2 linked regions of the Arabidopsis thaliana genome follow. The protein of the gene in region 1 purifies or fractionates together with the protein of each later gene. This does not show direct contact. Each region holds a gene or a part of one and is shown in the gene's direction. Other genes may lie near its edges.

What was found. Proteins that work in one complex are often made in the same cells at the same time.
Region 2: the proteins of RIF10 (region 1) and EMB1241 fractionate together in Arabidopsis thaliana (co-fractionation; one large-scale study listed by BioGRID). This does not show direct contact.

Annotation. Positions count from the first base shown.
Region 1 is NC_003074.8:917,436-925,511, forward strand, and holds RIF10 (polyribonucleotide nucleotidyltransferase), read left to right. Parts: upstream 1-1,926; 5' UTR 1,927-2,106; coding exon 2,107-2,400; intron 2,401-2,582; coding exon 2,583-2,651; intron 2,652-2,778; coding exon 2,779-2,885; intron 2,886-2,985; coding exon 2,986-3,028; intron 3,029-3,106; coding exon 3,107-3,190; intron 3,191-3,456; coding exon 3,457-3,521; intron 3,522-3,613; coding exon 3,614-3,770; intron 3,771-3,876; coding exon 3,877-3,933; intron 3,934-4,017; coding exon 4,018-4,131; intron 4,132-4,231; coding exon 4,232-4,495; intron 4,496-4,600; coding exon 4,601-4,675; intron 4,676-4,903; coding exon 4,904-5,017; intron 5,018-5,147; coding exon 5,148-5,240; intron 5,241-5,401; coding exon 5,402-5,580; intron 5,581-5,676; coding exon 5,677-5,860; intron 5,861-5,936; coding exon 5,937-5,984; intron 5,985-6,091; coding exon 6,092-6,164; intron 6,165-6,288; coding exon 6,289-6,362; intron 6,363-6,450; coding exon 6,451-6,558; intron 6,559-6,641; and 11 more. Other genes in the region: AT3G03700 (Plasma-membrane choline transporter family protein), read left to right, coding at 1-609, 695-892.
Region 2 is NC_003076.8:5,838,664-5,843,840, reverse strand, and holds EMB1241 (Co-chaperone GrpE family protein), read left to right. Parts: upstream 1-1,982; 5' UTR 1,983-2,201; coding exon 2,202-2,453; intron 2,454-3,015; coding exon 3,016-3,531; intron 3,532-4,068; coding exon 4,069-4,281; 3' UTR 4,282-4,502; downstream 4,503-5,177.

The DNA of each region.
Region 1 (8,076 bases):
GGAGGAGCAACTTCCACTAGAACAAATCTTGATATCTTGTTCATATCCGTAATCATAATAAGCTTAGCATGGACGATGCAAGTTATCAAGAATGTTCAACAAGTTGCGATTTCACGGGCGAGATATGTAAACTTTGCACATGGAGAAGATATGGACGCTTGGAATGCTTTCCGCATCACTATGAAACACTTGACTGGGAGCATCTGCGTTGGCTCGACGCTTGTTCCAATCATCGTATTCATAAGAGGATCAATAAGAAGTGTTAATCTAATGTCAGGGAGCAGCGATGAGGTCATGTATTCAGGTGCTGATTGCTTCTCTACCATTGCTAACAAACTCATTACACTTGGAAACAGATGGGGCTTTGTACATGTTGGAACCTATGATAAAGGATTCATGGAGGCTTCGAGTGATACCTGGAAGAAGTTCAGAAGCACAACAGGGTTGGAGAAACTGATTGACTCGGATCTCACTAGCTCCTTCTGTTTTCTCAGTGCTGTTTCTGTTGGAGCTGTCTCTTCATTAACTGCTGGGATATGGATGTTGTTAATACACAAGGACTATGCCCTGGAAGTGACTCTCTATGCTTTCATAATTGGATATTTTGTGGTAAGATAGCTAATTTTATAAAACTAAGAAGAAGACTTTAAGACAAAGTGGTTTATGTTGTGTACCTGGTTTTGAGTGTTTTCAGGGAAGGGTAGGTTTGGCGTGGCTACAGGCATGTGTATTGGCTTACTATGTAGCTTATTCTGAAGATCCTCAGAGCATGAGATTTGATGGAACAATTCCACAACGTATTCAGCGTCTTCAAATGTTAAGTGCTCACCGAGATAACAGGGAGCTTGAGGTGGGTAGAGACAGAGAAGAAGATAGTTATAACAATTGTTGAGTCATGAAGGAGTCTCGCTACATACATGTAAAGAAAAACAAGGATTACTACTTTATTTCTTCAAACTTATAGATTCTTCTATTGATAGGCAAAAATCTTAGCTTCAATGTGTTTATATGTATGCCAAAACTCCAACTAAAGAAAGAATGCACATACTTTTTCTCTCAACTTAGCCATTATACAGTGGGACTTAGGATTATTGAAATTTTCAACACTTAAAAATCTTAGAGTTTTTAGTATACTACCAATTTACAGCAAAAAATAACTAAATTTGTTCCATATGTGACACAAGTATACTAGTGATTATAATCACAATCATTATCAACATTAAGCACAAGTACATTCTAATGATTAACGGAAAAAACAATAATCTGAAGCAATAGAAGGAAGAGAAGCTACTGCACATTTGGAATCGAATACCCGATAAGGGAATCCGCCGCAGATTCTGGAGAAGAATTTGCAGTTTGTCGTAGAGAGCTTTTGATTGAAGAAATCAAACAAAAATTTAGGAGGAGAGATCTCGAACCGGAACAAAAAGTTTATATTGGTATTGAAATTACAATTGATTTTGTGTTTGGTTTATACTGGTTTAGAGAGGAAAAGAAAAAAATATTCACGCGATGGTGATTTTAGAGACAAGTGCGTTGATAAAAAAAGGCACAATTTCAGAAGGTAAACCCCTACAGAATTGCTCTCACGCTCTCTACGCGCACTTTGTGAGAGTGGATCTGAAATAGAACTTTCTGATTGGCTAAAAAACTCTAAAAAAATAGCAATAGTAGACATGTTGCTAGCTCTTGTTATTATTTAGCTTTTCTACAAAACGCAGTCGTTTCTATTTCGATCGTTTCAGCTTTTGACATTGATCCGAACCAATCGGTTCAACTGGCTTAGTCTATCCACAGGTTCGTATAAAAAATCTCATTTTTGGTCATCAAATTAAACAGTAAATTTATATTAATTAATCATAAGTTAATGTTTAAAGACAAATTCTATTTCAAATTTCTAACGAATCAGACCTAATTGTCCGGAATAAATGATTGGTTCTGAAAATATCAGTTGGGAAATTAAAACCCGGTTCAATTTGAAACCGGAAACAAGACTAGCTACGCCTCACACAGAGTCACAGGAGAAGCTCCCGCGTCTGCAAGGAACGGATAAAGTCTCTCTCTTTCTCACTCTCTCTCTCTCTCTCTCTCTCAAAGAAGAAGAAGATGTTGACGAGTCCCAGTAACGCACTTCACAGTAGTACTCCACAATTCTGGCCACTTCGCCGGAGCAAGCTTTGCCGTTCCCGGAATTTCCCTCGTTTTCACTCCGGCGAACGCAGCAGCGGCGGAGGAGGAAAATTGTGCTCGCTCTCTCTTCTCTCCGGAAGTGGCGCCGGTAAATTCAGTGTCAGAGCTCTAGTTAGGCCTGATGATACCGACGACGCTGACTCCGTCGGCGATGGGTCTCTGGCTTTTCCTAACCACGTTTCTGTCAAAATTCCATTCGGAAATAGAGAGGTAATTTCTTCAAAAAGCTGTACTCTTTTGATTTCATTGGTTGCAAGTTTGAATTCGGAGTTGATTGGTAGGATTTGAGACCTTTAGCTCCATAGTAGAGAAGCAAAGCTCGCTGTTTAGATGAATGTGTTGAACATTGTTCAAAGTTTTTCATCTTTTCTTTCTTTTTGTCTACTCTGTAGATTTTAGTTGAGACTGGTCTCATGGGGAGACAAGCAAGTTCTGCAGTCACGGTCACAGATGGAGAAACTGTAAGTGTGCTGCTTCATTCAATTTCCAAAACTTTCAACTTTTTAAATGTTTTTGCTTATCTCTTAATCGGTTTGTTAGATGCGGAAGCTTTGTTTTATTTTTTACTCTGTCTACTTGTCATTGTAGATTGTCTACACATCCGTTTGTCTAGCTGATGTTCCGAGTGAGCCATCAGATTTTCTTCCCCTTTATGTTCACTATCAGGAGCGATTCTCAGCTGTAGGTCGAACTAGGTAAGCGTCTTTCAAGCTCTTGCAATTTTGGAGTCTCTTGCTATAAGAAGACCATATCATTGCCTAAATGATGATCTAAATGGACCTTCTTATGGTACAGTGGTGGATTTTTTAAGCGAGAAGGGAGAACCAAAGATCACGAGGTATGTACTAATGATGGTTTTGGTTTCGTCTAATTCGCCATCCTTCTTAACATGTTTCTACTTTTGATTTTTATGCAGGTTCTGATTTGTAGGTTGATCGATAGACCTCTACGCCCCACTATGCCCAAAGGTTTCTACAATGAAACTCAGATTTTATCCTGGGTATGCTTCTTCTCCATGGATATCTTTATGTTCCGATAGGCCCTTTTTTTGTCTGTTTTGCCTCTCTTTGGTTGAACAAAATACCTTTTGACTTGCGCTTTCTTTTGTCTCTGTATGATGGCGTCTCCTGTTTTGTGTGCCTACTACCTTTTTCGGAAAATGATGTACATTGTTTTTTTATACTTAAACATATATGGGATGGTTGTATTCATCTCCTTTGTTTGAGTCTCATTCGTAATTGACCTGTTGCTTGTTTGTGGTTTCAGGTTTTGAGCTACGATGGATTACACGCACCTGATGCTTTAGCTGTTACATCTGCTGGAATTGCTGTGTATGTAGGGTCATCTTTTTCCGTTTACATATGAGTGAAGCTTTTTTATCTTGGCAAAGTTGACATGGCTATGTAATAAATGAATACCGCAGAGCTCTTTCAGAAGTACCAAATGCGAAAGCGATTGCAGGAGTTCGGGTTGGTCTTATTGGGGGTGAATTCATTGTCAATCCAACCGTGAAGGAGATGGAAGAATCACAGCTAGATTTGTTTCTAGCTGGAACAGATACTGCAATTCTAACGATAGAGGTAAACTCTAATCTTTACTTGAGTTTGCAAGATTTGCCCTTTCTCTCCTGTTTTTTTTTTTTTTTCTATACTCAGCCCTTGCTCATTGAAAAATCTGGGATTGCAGGGATACAGTAATTTTCTTCCTGAGGAAATGCTTCTCCAAGCTGTTAAAGTTGGACAGGTATTTCGATTTTTAATTCGGATTATTTCAATTTTTAAAAGTCTGAATTAGATACTAAATGTGAGGCTTTTTCATTTTTACCAGGATGCTGTACAGGCTACATGCATTGCTATTGAAGTTTTAGCAAAGAAATATGGAAAGCCTAAAATGCTTGACGCTATCAGATTACCACCTCCAGAGCTATACAAGCATGTGAAAGTATGTTATACACTTTGTTTCTGTTTCGTTTTGCCAGAATGGAATTGCATTGATATTATTTTGTAATTCATGTTTAAAATGAATTGTTTTATGTACACAGGAACTTGCTGGTGAGGAATTGACAAAAGCGTTACAAATTAAGAGTAAAATATCGAGAAGGAAAGCCATATCGTCCCTGGAAGAAAAGGTCTTGACAATACTGACAGAGAAGGGATATGTTATTGATGAGGTAGCTTTTGGAACCATAGAAGCACAACCGGATCTGTTGGAGGATGAAGACGAGGATGAGGAAGTTGTTCCTGAAGGTGAGGTGGACCAAGGCGATGTTCACATTAGACCCATCCCTCGGAAACCTATTCCTTTAGTGAGTCTCTTAACCTTTTCAACATGATAACTTGAATGTGACCTTTTATCATATTCATTTTTTCTTAAATGTAATGCTAACAAACTAGTCATTTCCCTTTGCTAGCTATTTTCTGAAGTAGATGTCAAGCTAGTCTTCAAAGAAGTATCGTCGAAGCTTCTACGTAGGCGAATTGTTGAGGTACAACATCTGATTTCTTGGTATTTATACCCTAGACATGTATGTTTAAGGATTTATTTTCTCACTGAAGCATTTTATGAACTACACTACATTAAAGAATCTAACATGTTTGAAGCCACACATCTTTCACATTGTCTCCTAGTAATTCTTTCCTAAATTTTCATTTTTGTTTTCACTTTTTCGGAATGAGCTTTATTGATTCCATATGACATCTTTCTTCATCCATAGGGAGGTAAAAGAAGTGATGGTCGGACTCTGGATGAGATTCGTCCAATTAATTCAAGATGTGGACTGCTTCCCAGGGCACATGGAAGTACTCTGTTCACACGTGGGGAAACACAGGTAACATAGGAATGTTGTCTTCTGGAGAAATCCTGCGTGGCTATTTCATATGTCGATCCTTTCTCTTATCGCCTTTTATGTATTTTAAGGCAATTGGTTTGCTAATGAACATTTAGTATGATTCTTTCAGGCACTGGCAGTTGTTACGCTTGGTGATAAACAAATGGCGCAGAGAATTGACAACCTTGAGGGTTCTGATGAATACAAGAGGTTCTATCTTCAGGTCTCTTTTATATTTGTTCTTCTCACTTTGTTATTATTATTACAGTTGACTTTTTATTAGACAAAGTAAACTTTTTGATGTGGTTAGTTGCTTAGTGTCGTTCTTCATTTTTCTTGTTGTGCTTAAAGAGATTTTCTAAGCTAGTCATTGTGATGTTGCAGTACACTTTTCCTCCATCGTCTGTTGGTGAAGTTGGACGAATTGGTGCACCCAGTAGAAGAGAAATAGGTCATGGGACACTAGCAGAGCGAGCATTGGAGACCATTCTACCTAGTGATGATGACTTTCCTTACACAATACGTGTTGAAAGTACAGTAATTGAAAGCAATGGTTCTTCAAGGTCAGCTTTTTTATCTGGTTTTATGATCTGCACGCCTAGTTTGTTTGAATGACAAATTTGGTAATTGCTTCTTACGTTGATCTCAAAATGTGACAGTATGGCATCTGTTTGTGGCGGTTGCTTGGCTTTGCAAGATGCTGGAGTTCCAGTCAAATGTTCTGTTGCTGGGATAGCAATGGGAATGGTTTGGGATACTGAAGAATTTGGAGGTGATGGATCTCCCCTTATCCTTTCTGACATCACTGGAGCTGAAGATGCATCTGGTGATATGGACTTTAAGGTCAGAAAATATGAGGATTCCCTTGAAGGACCTTGCATTGACTTGAATGCTGAAGTTTTGATATGTTTGTCAATAGGTTGCTGGGAATGAAGATGGCGTTACCGCCTTTCAGATGGACATCAAGGTCATCATCCGTTTCTTAATTTACACTACCGAAATGGTTTTAAATGGCAATTGAATTAATATGTTGGTAACATCTTTTCTTACTTCTTCTCTTTAATCATGAACTAGGTAGGAGGAATTACTTTAGAGATAATGGAAAAGGCTCTAATACAGGCAAAAGCTGGGCGTCGCCATATTCTTGGTAAGGAATGTTATTCATGAATTATTAGTCTCAAGATAGTAGACTTGGGGAGATTTAGTTCCTTGGAAAATGTATGCCACAAAAGATGTAATTTACTATATTTTTTTTTTTCCTTTTTGTGCAGCTGAAATGGCAAAGTGCTCACCGCCTCCCACGCTAAGCCTCTCAAAATATGCTCCATTGATACTTATTATGAAGGTTTGGCTTCAACTAGTTTTTCCAGGATTGCCCAGTCTAATGCCTTTCTGCCTTGAACTAAAGATTGTTGGCGTTTCATGTGCTGCAGGTTCATCCAAGCAAAGTATACTCTCTTATTGGTTCTGGAGGTAAGAAAGTAAAGAGCATCATTGAAGAATCTGGAGTTGAGGCCATTGACATGCAAGATGATGGAACTGTGAGATATACATGCAAAAAAATGTGATTTTATATTTATTGGGTATTCTTTATCCTAACTTCTTAATATTTATCTTTGTCAAGGTCAAAATTATGGCAATTGATGTAGCGAGTCTAGAAAGGGCGAAAGCGATTATTAGTGGATTGACAATGGTTCCCTCTGTTGGTGATATCTACAGGTATGTATCCTTCATATACCTTCTCTGACCAAAAAGCGTAAATAGATTTGGATTCTTACCTTTCTTTTTGTATCAGGAATTGTGAAATCAAGTCAATGGCTCCTTATGGTGCATTTGTAGAGATAGCGCCTGGGCGGGAAGGTCTTTGCCATATCAGTGAGCTGAGTGCTGAATGGCTTGCAAAACCAGAGGATGTGAGCATTACTCATTGATTCCCTTCCTTTATAGAAATTGTTTCATCTTTTATTCAGGTTTTCACATACGCTCATTCTTGTCCTTTCAGGCCTATAAAGTAGGAGACCGCATTGACGTCAAATTAATAGAGGTCAGCGAGTTATTGTGTCTTTATAACTCAAGAGACAATATAACTAATCGGAAATGATAATTAGAGAGTTGTTGAACAAAGAAACATGGATAATGCAGGTAAATGAAAAGGGTCAGCTTCGACTTAGTGTACGGGCTTTACTTCCCGAATCAGAGACAGACAAAGACAGTCAGAAACAACAGCCGGCAGGTGATTCTACCAAAGACAAGAGTTCGCAAAGGAAATATGTAAATACTTCGTCAAAGGACCGTGCAGCTGCAGGAGCATCAAAGGTTTCATCTGGGGATGAACTTGTCCTGAAGAAGAAAGATGTAAGGAGAGCAACTGGTGGTAGTAGTGACAAGACAATGAATAGCAATAGCAGTACCAACGAAGAAAGTTTAGTCAACGGTGAAGCTACAATCAGCTAGTGGAATGCAAACAAGATCACTGTTCATATCTGTGTCTCGTGAGACTCATTACGAAAGGAGGAGAGTTTCTTCCAACGGAACCACAGGTGCGACTTGAGAAATCTTGAAAACTTGAGACAAGACAAGTTGCAAATGTCTTTTCTTGATTTTTTTTCTAATGTTTTGTAATTATGTTTCTTGGCAGTTTCTTGAAGCTGTGCATATATGTTGGCAAGTCTGGTGTGGAGGAGGATAACATTTTTGAAGACGTCATATGTTGGGAGATTCTCAGACATTTCATCAGTTCTTTCTGTTGTCTTCTCTCTTGCAAACTCATTAGTCCGTTTAGGTTACTTGATATATTAATGTTTTTGACTAAATTTTATTTGGGATAGATGATTTTTCTTCAGCTTGTCAAAGTTTCCCAATTTTTGTTATGTTTCGAGTTATTAGATGGACTTGGCAACTTCAAGAGTTTTAAAGATCACTTAGCTAAGTGAAGAAAACTATATAACTGGATACATTTCACAACAAGAGCACATATATTTCTAAGCCTGTACAAGCAACAACAGCTTGAGGTCGAGTCCCTTTAACTGCTGCATTGAACCGCCCATATTAAGCAAGAT
Region 2 (5,177 bases), on another chromosome or scaffold:
TGGTCATAATCCTTTTTGAGTTCCCAAAATTCACTGATAGTGTTAAGCGGAATCGTTCATTCAAAATATATACTATATGTAGGCTATTTGGGAATATCTTATACACTTTTTTGTAAGAAAATTAGACATATTTATCTATTGTTTTTAAAAAAAAATTGTAAAAAAACGAGATCTAAGTTTATTGTCAAGTTAAACAAATAGAGAATTACGGGACGATAAAAAGAAGGAAACTAAATGATTAGAGACTTTATTTTTATTTTTCTCAATCGACGTGATGACCAATTTGATACAGACTCATAATCTATATGATATACCCAGGTGGAAGACCCATGCGTTGCATGCGTTAGAATTAATATAATAAAATACAACCTGTTGTTTAGCTGTTTCTAATTAATATTGAAATATGTTTAGCTGTTGAAAACATATAGAGGTTACCTTTTATTTTTCTCTAACTTATTCATCTCATCTAGTTTATCCAACTCTTTTTTATTATTCAGCTTATCTTTATTCAACTTATCAGTACTCATTTTATTCAGCTAGTTCAATTTGTTAATCACCATTGGAAACTTTTTAGGTGTTTATTTTTAGAAAATACTCTTCATTAAATCTCAAAAGTTCATAAAGTTTTTGGTGTAAACTACTAATTGGAGATTCGATCTAATGTTTTATAAAGTATTTTATATGGTTTAATAAGATTTTAGAAGGTATTTAAAAATGTTTTACAAGGTATTGTTTTACAAGGTATTTATAAGTTATTTTTATACTGTATTTATAAAATATTTATAAGTTTTTACACACATATAAAAGTAGTTTGTATACTTTAATAAAGTTACACACATATTTGAATAAACCTCATATTCTTAGGAGTACTTTTAATAAACAATTAGAAATATAATATTTTTGAAAAGTGGTATTCGAAAAGATGCTTTTGAAATTCTTCCTTTATTTAGCTTCCAATTCTAAACATTTGAACTAAACTATTTGATATTCAATTTTAAAAGCTTATATGGATTGTCACCTCCAAACATATGCTAGATATTTACTTGAGAATTTTTGATAAACATCTACTTACAAAATTTTAACTAAAATAATATATTGAGAAATTGGAAAATGAAAAAGTAAAATGGTCGAAGAAGAATATCTTTTATGATATGTTAGCCTCAACAACGGGTGATATTTAATAATTAGTTTAAAACTTTAGTCACTTTGTAGTTAATACTTCTGATTTAGGATTAAGGTCCGTTGCACCCACTACTTCTGACAAAACTAAGTGTGCGGACTTAGAAAATAGATTAAACATGGATGGTCTCCTATCTCTTTGTTGTCAACCCAAACCGGCAAACCCTGATATTCTCTTATTACTTTTCATCTATAACATATTGAGTACTAGTACTTGACCAAAACAAACATTTAACTATATAGTACATCTCTTTGGGCTTAAGGAAACCCTTTTGTAAATAAAGCCTAAGCCCAAATTGTAGAACTAGTTATAGTCAATAACACAAAATTGCTTCTAAAAATTTCCCAAATCTCAAGTCTTATTATGTTATTTTCAACAACGATATGCATGAGATCATGATACAATTTGAATCTGCAATAACAAAACTGATACAAATTGGTAAAAACATATTTTATTGTCGAAAATGTTTGAAACATTCAGATCCAAAAGAAAGGCAAGGCGAAATTGATACAACTACAAATCATTCAAATATTCTTATGTCAGAACAACAGTTCCTGGATAAATTTGCTCCCACTTGAAGAAAAGTGTAGTCATCGCTAGAGAAGATGAAGAGATTCGTGATGAAGTGGACTTGGAAAAAGAGTTGAACCATAAGAGTGGAAGACAACTTACAAAGAGTTTGGAGACATCATACCAGGAATCAGTTAGATCATTGGCATAGAACATCGAACAGCCTTCTCGAGTATTAATTTACAGAGATTTTATTGTATTATATAAAATATTCACAAAACTGTAGAAGTTTCAAGAAAATCTAAATCCGACGGTTGAAAAACTCCCTACGTAATCTCTGTTGAACAACAACGGTCCGATCAACATAGTAAAAACGAAAAGTAAATCCAACGGTTAAAAAAACGAAACAAAACAAAAGATCCGACGAGGAAGAGTAGAACCGTTTGCCCTCTCTCTCTCTATCTTCCTTATCTCTCTCCGCCACTCTCCTTCTCTTTCTCCGAACTCTTCGATGGCCGGTCTACTCAAAACGCCGTCTTTACATCTCACACCAACTCTTCTTCATGCTCCTTCTGTACCCTTTAAGCCCTTTTGCGTATCTTTCGCCGGAGGAAGAAACGTTAGCGTCTCACTCTCTCGCCGAGCTTCTCTCCGGTCTGTCTCTAGCGGCTATCCTCTCCGCTTACTAAACCTCGTACCCTTTGCTTCGGGAGAAGCTGAGACGACGGAGACGGAGGTGGAATCGAACGAACCCGAAGTTCAGGTTTTTCGATTTCGGCTCACTTCTGTTCAACTTTCTTGGGGGTTATTTCATTGTTAGTTCGGTGATTAGGGTTTCGAATTTGGGATATGGTAATTTAGAATTGCTTGTTGTTTGCTTAAATTTTTAAGCTTTATTGATTATATTACCCTCTGAAGGAACGTTCACATGAATTAGAGCAATGAATAGGATTGTATTCAGTCTATTCAGGAGTCAAATGGTGAATGCTAATGTTTCTTAGGATATACCAAATCCGATGAATGACAGATTTCATATTCTTGTGGTATGGTGTGTTCCCAAAATGAAGGAGTTTCACTAGTAGTTTAAGACCATGGTGTGTATGTACTATCCAAATCGAATTTTGATTTCGTGATTCTTGTATGGGGGCCACAGAATGTTCTGAAGCTTTTTTGGTGTTAATCTGATTGTTTAGGAGGTCATTAAAAAATTGTGTCGTTAGTGTGTGTTCTGTCTCAGCTTTTATCAGGAATAGATAGGAAACGTCTATGTAAACTGGATTGCTCTTTTTCTGATTTTTTGTTTCACTTCTGAAATCATGGAGCAGGAGACGGATGGTGCTGTTGATGTCGAGAATGAAAATGCCAGTGCTGAGGAGGGTGAAGCTGAGGAAGAAGAAGCAGCTGTTATCACAGCGTTGCTGAAATCCTATAAAGAAGCTTTAGCAGACAACAACGAGGGGAAGATTGCTGAGATAGAAGCATCTTTAAAGTCCATAGAAGATGAAAAATTTCTGCTTGCGGATAAAGTAGCGTCTTTATCCAATGAGTTATCGGTGGAGAGGGATCGGCTTATAAGAATCAGTGCAGATTTCGACAACTTCAGGAAGAGGACTGAGAGGGAAAGGCTAAACCTTGTTTCAAATGCTCAAGGAGAGGTTGTAGAGAATCTTTTGGCTGTTTTGGATAATTTCGAGAGAGCTAAATCCCAAATTAAGGTGGAGACTGAGGGAGAAGAGAAAGTCACTAATAGCTATCAGAGCATATACAAACAGTTTGTAGAAATTCTGGGATCACTTGGTGTTATCCATGTGGAGACAGTCGGCAAGCAGTTTGATCCAATGGTTAGTTACTATGATATCTTTTCTTCTTTCCGGAGATCGACAACTGTATTTTTGTTGCTCAGCTTGCTGGTGGTTTTAATTTTTAACTATGGACGTGATCTTTAAAATCAAAGTTGTTTTGGAAGTTAGGATAATTCGTTGCTATAGGGCTGCCGGAATAATCTTGAGCAGAACGTAGATATGGTTGTTACTTTGAAAGTTAGCTACATCAGATGGATGGAACAAATTATGCTGAATGATACTTTTGTGATGCAAATGATCAATAAATCTTTGAGGTTTAGGATCACTTATCTCAGTTAGATGCCTTTTGGTTATCGCAAAGCTTGAAATACATAACCACTTATGCGTCTAGTCCTAAGCATGAATCTGCTAAAGTTTTGGAGACTTTAGATGTAAGATGTGGTTGTTACTTTTGCAAGTTGGGTTTAAATGACAATGAGTTGGTAGATATCCTTTTGTTTGTTGGTCTTTTCAAGTCCCTAACAGCTGACATCTCTTTTTTATCCTTTTGCTTTTCTCGTTGTTGTGTGAAAAAAGCTACATGAGGCAATAATGAGAGAAGACTCTGCGGAATACGAAGAGGGTATAGTACTAGAAGAATACAGGAAAGGTTTCTTGCTAGGTGAAAGGCTTTTACGTCCTTCAATGGTGAAAGTATCAGCTGGACCTGGACCAGAAAAGCCCCTTGAAGCTGAAGGAGAAGAAGCCACAGCACAAGGAAGCGCAGAAGAAGAATCATCTTCATCTTGAAATTGAAGATGATCAAGACTCAGCAGTTTTGTGTGCGTGTGTGTGAGAGAGATACAGAGATAAAAGAGGGAGAGGTCTGTTTTACCATTATTGTTGTTATTGTTATTGATACGTTATATCATTTCTACAGAGTCTAGAAGTAATATAGATCGACATTTTTAATGAATTCTTAAGTATTCAATCCGAAAGGGAATGCCATAATTGATTTTTTTTCATCTCTCTATACACAGCTAGAAAATTCGGAAGATTCAGAGAAAATGTTGATAATTGGAAGTTTGGAACAAACAGAAAGTCAATACAGTAAATTGTATTTGAGTACTATGGCCTACGAGTCCAAATTATTGTCCAAGTTTTCTTCTTTTGGTTAGGGTTCTTTGGGTACTTAAATATCTTAAAGAGGAGTTGTCCATTTTGTGTAAAGAAATGTTAGGGCCATGTATGTTGGGTATCTTGGATTGGATTTTTTTTTCTTCTTTCTTTTGTTATTTTTTGGATATTTCTAGTAACGTTGGGATCCATGCATAATGCATTAAACCGGGTAATAGAATAAATAGTGTCATACAGTGAAAGTGTGAAACAATCAATAGTAAATTTTATCCTCAATGATGATAATATATCACATAATTTTTGGATCGGATACGAGGTGTAATCGGCCGGTCCATCTTTAGTCTCCTAGGACAATGCATGTCTTGTGTGAACGTACAAGTACAAATGTTGATTTGCGGTTCTGTTCCGGTTTTTGGTTATCAGATTTCAATTTTTGGAGAAACGTGTTAACCAGAAGCGAACCGAATATATTTGTATCCAGTTGTTGACTAACAAATGTTACAGAATTGTTTTGTTGTCAAGAAGTAAGTAGAGTTTATGTATCAGTTATGATTTTCAAAGTTTGCGAG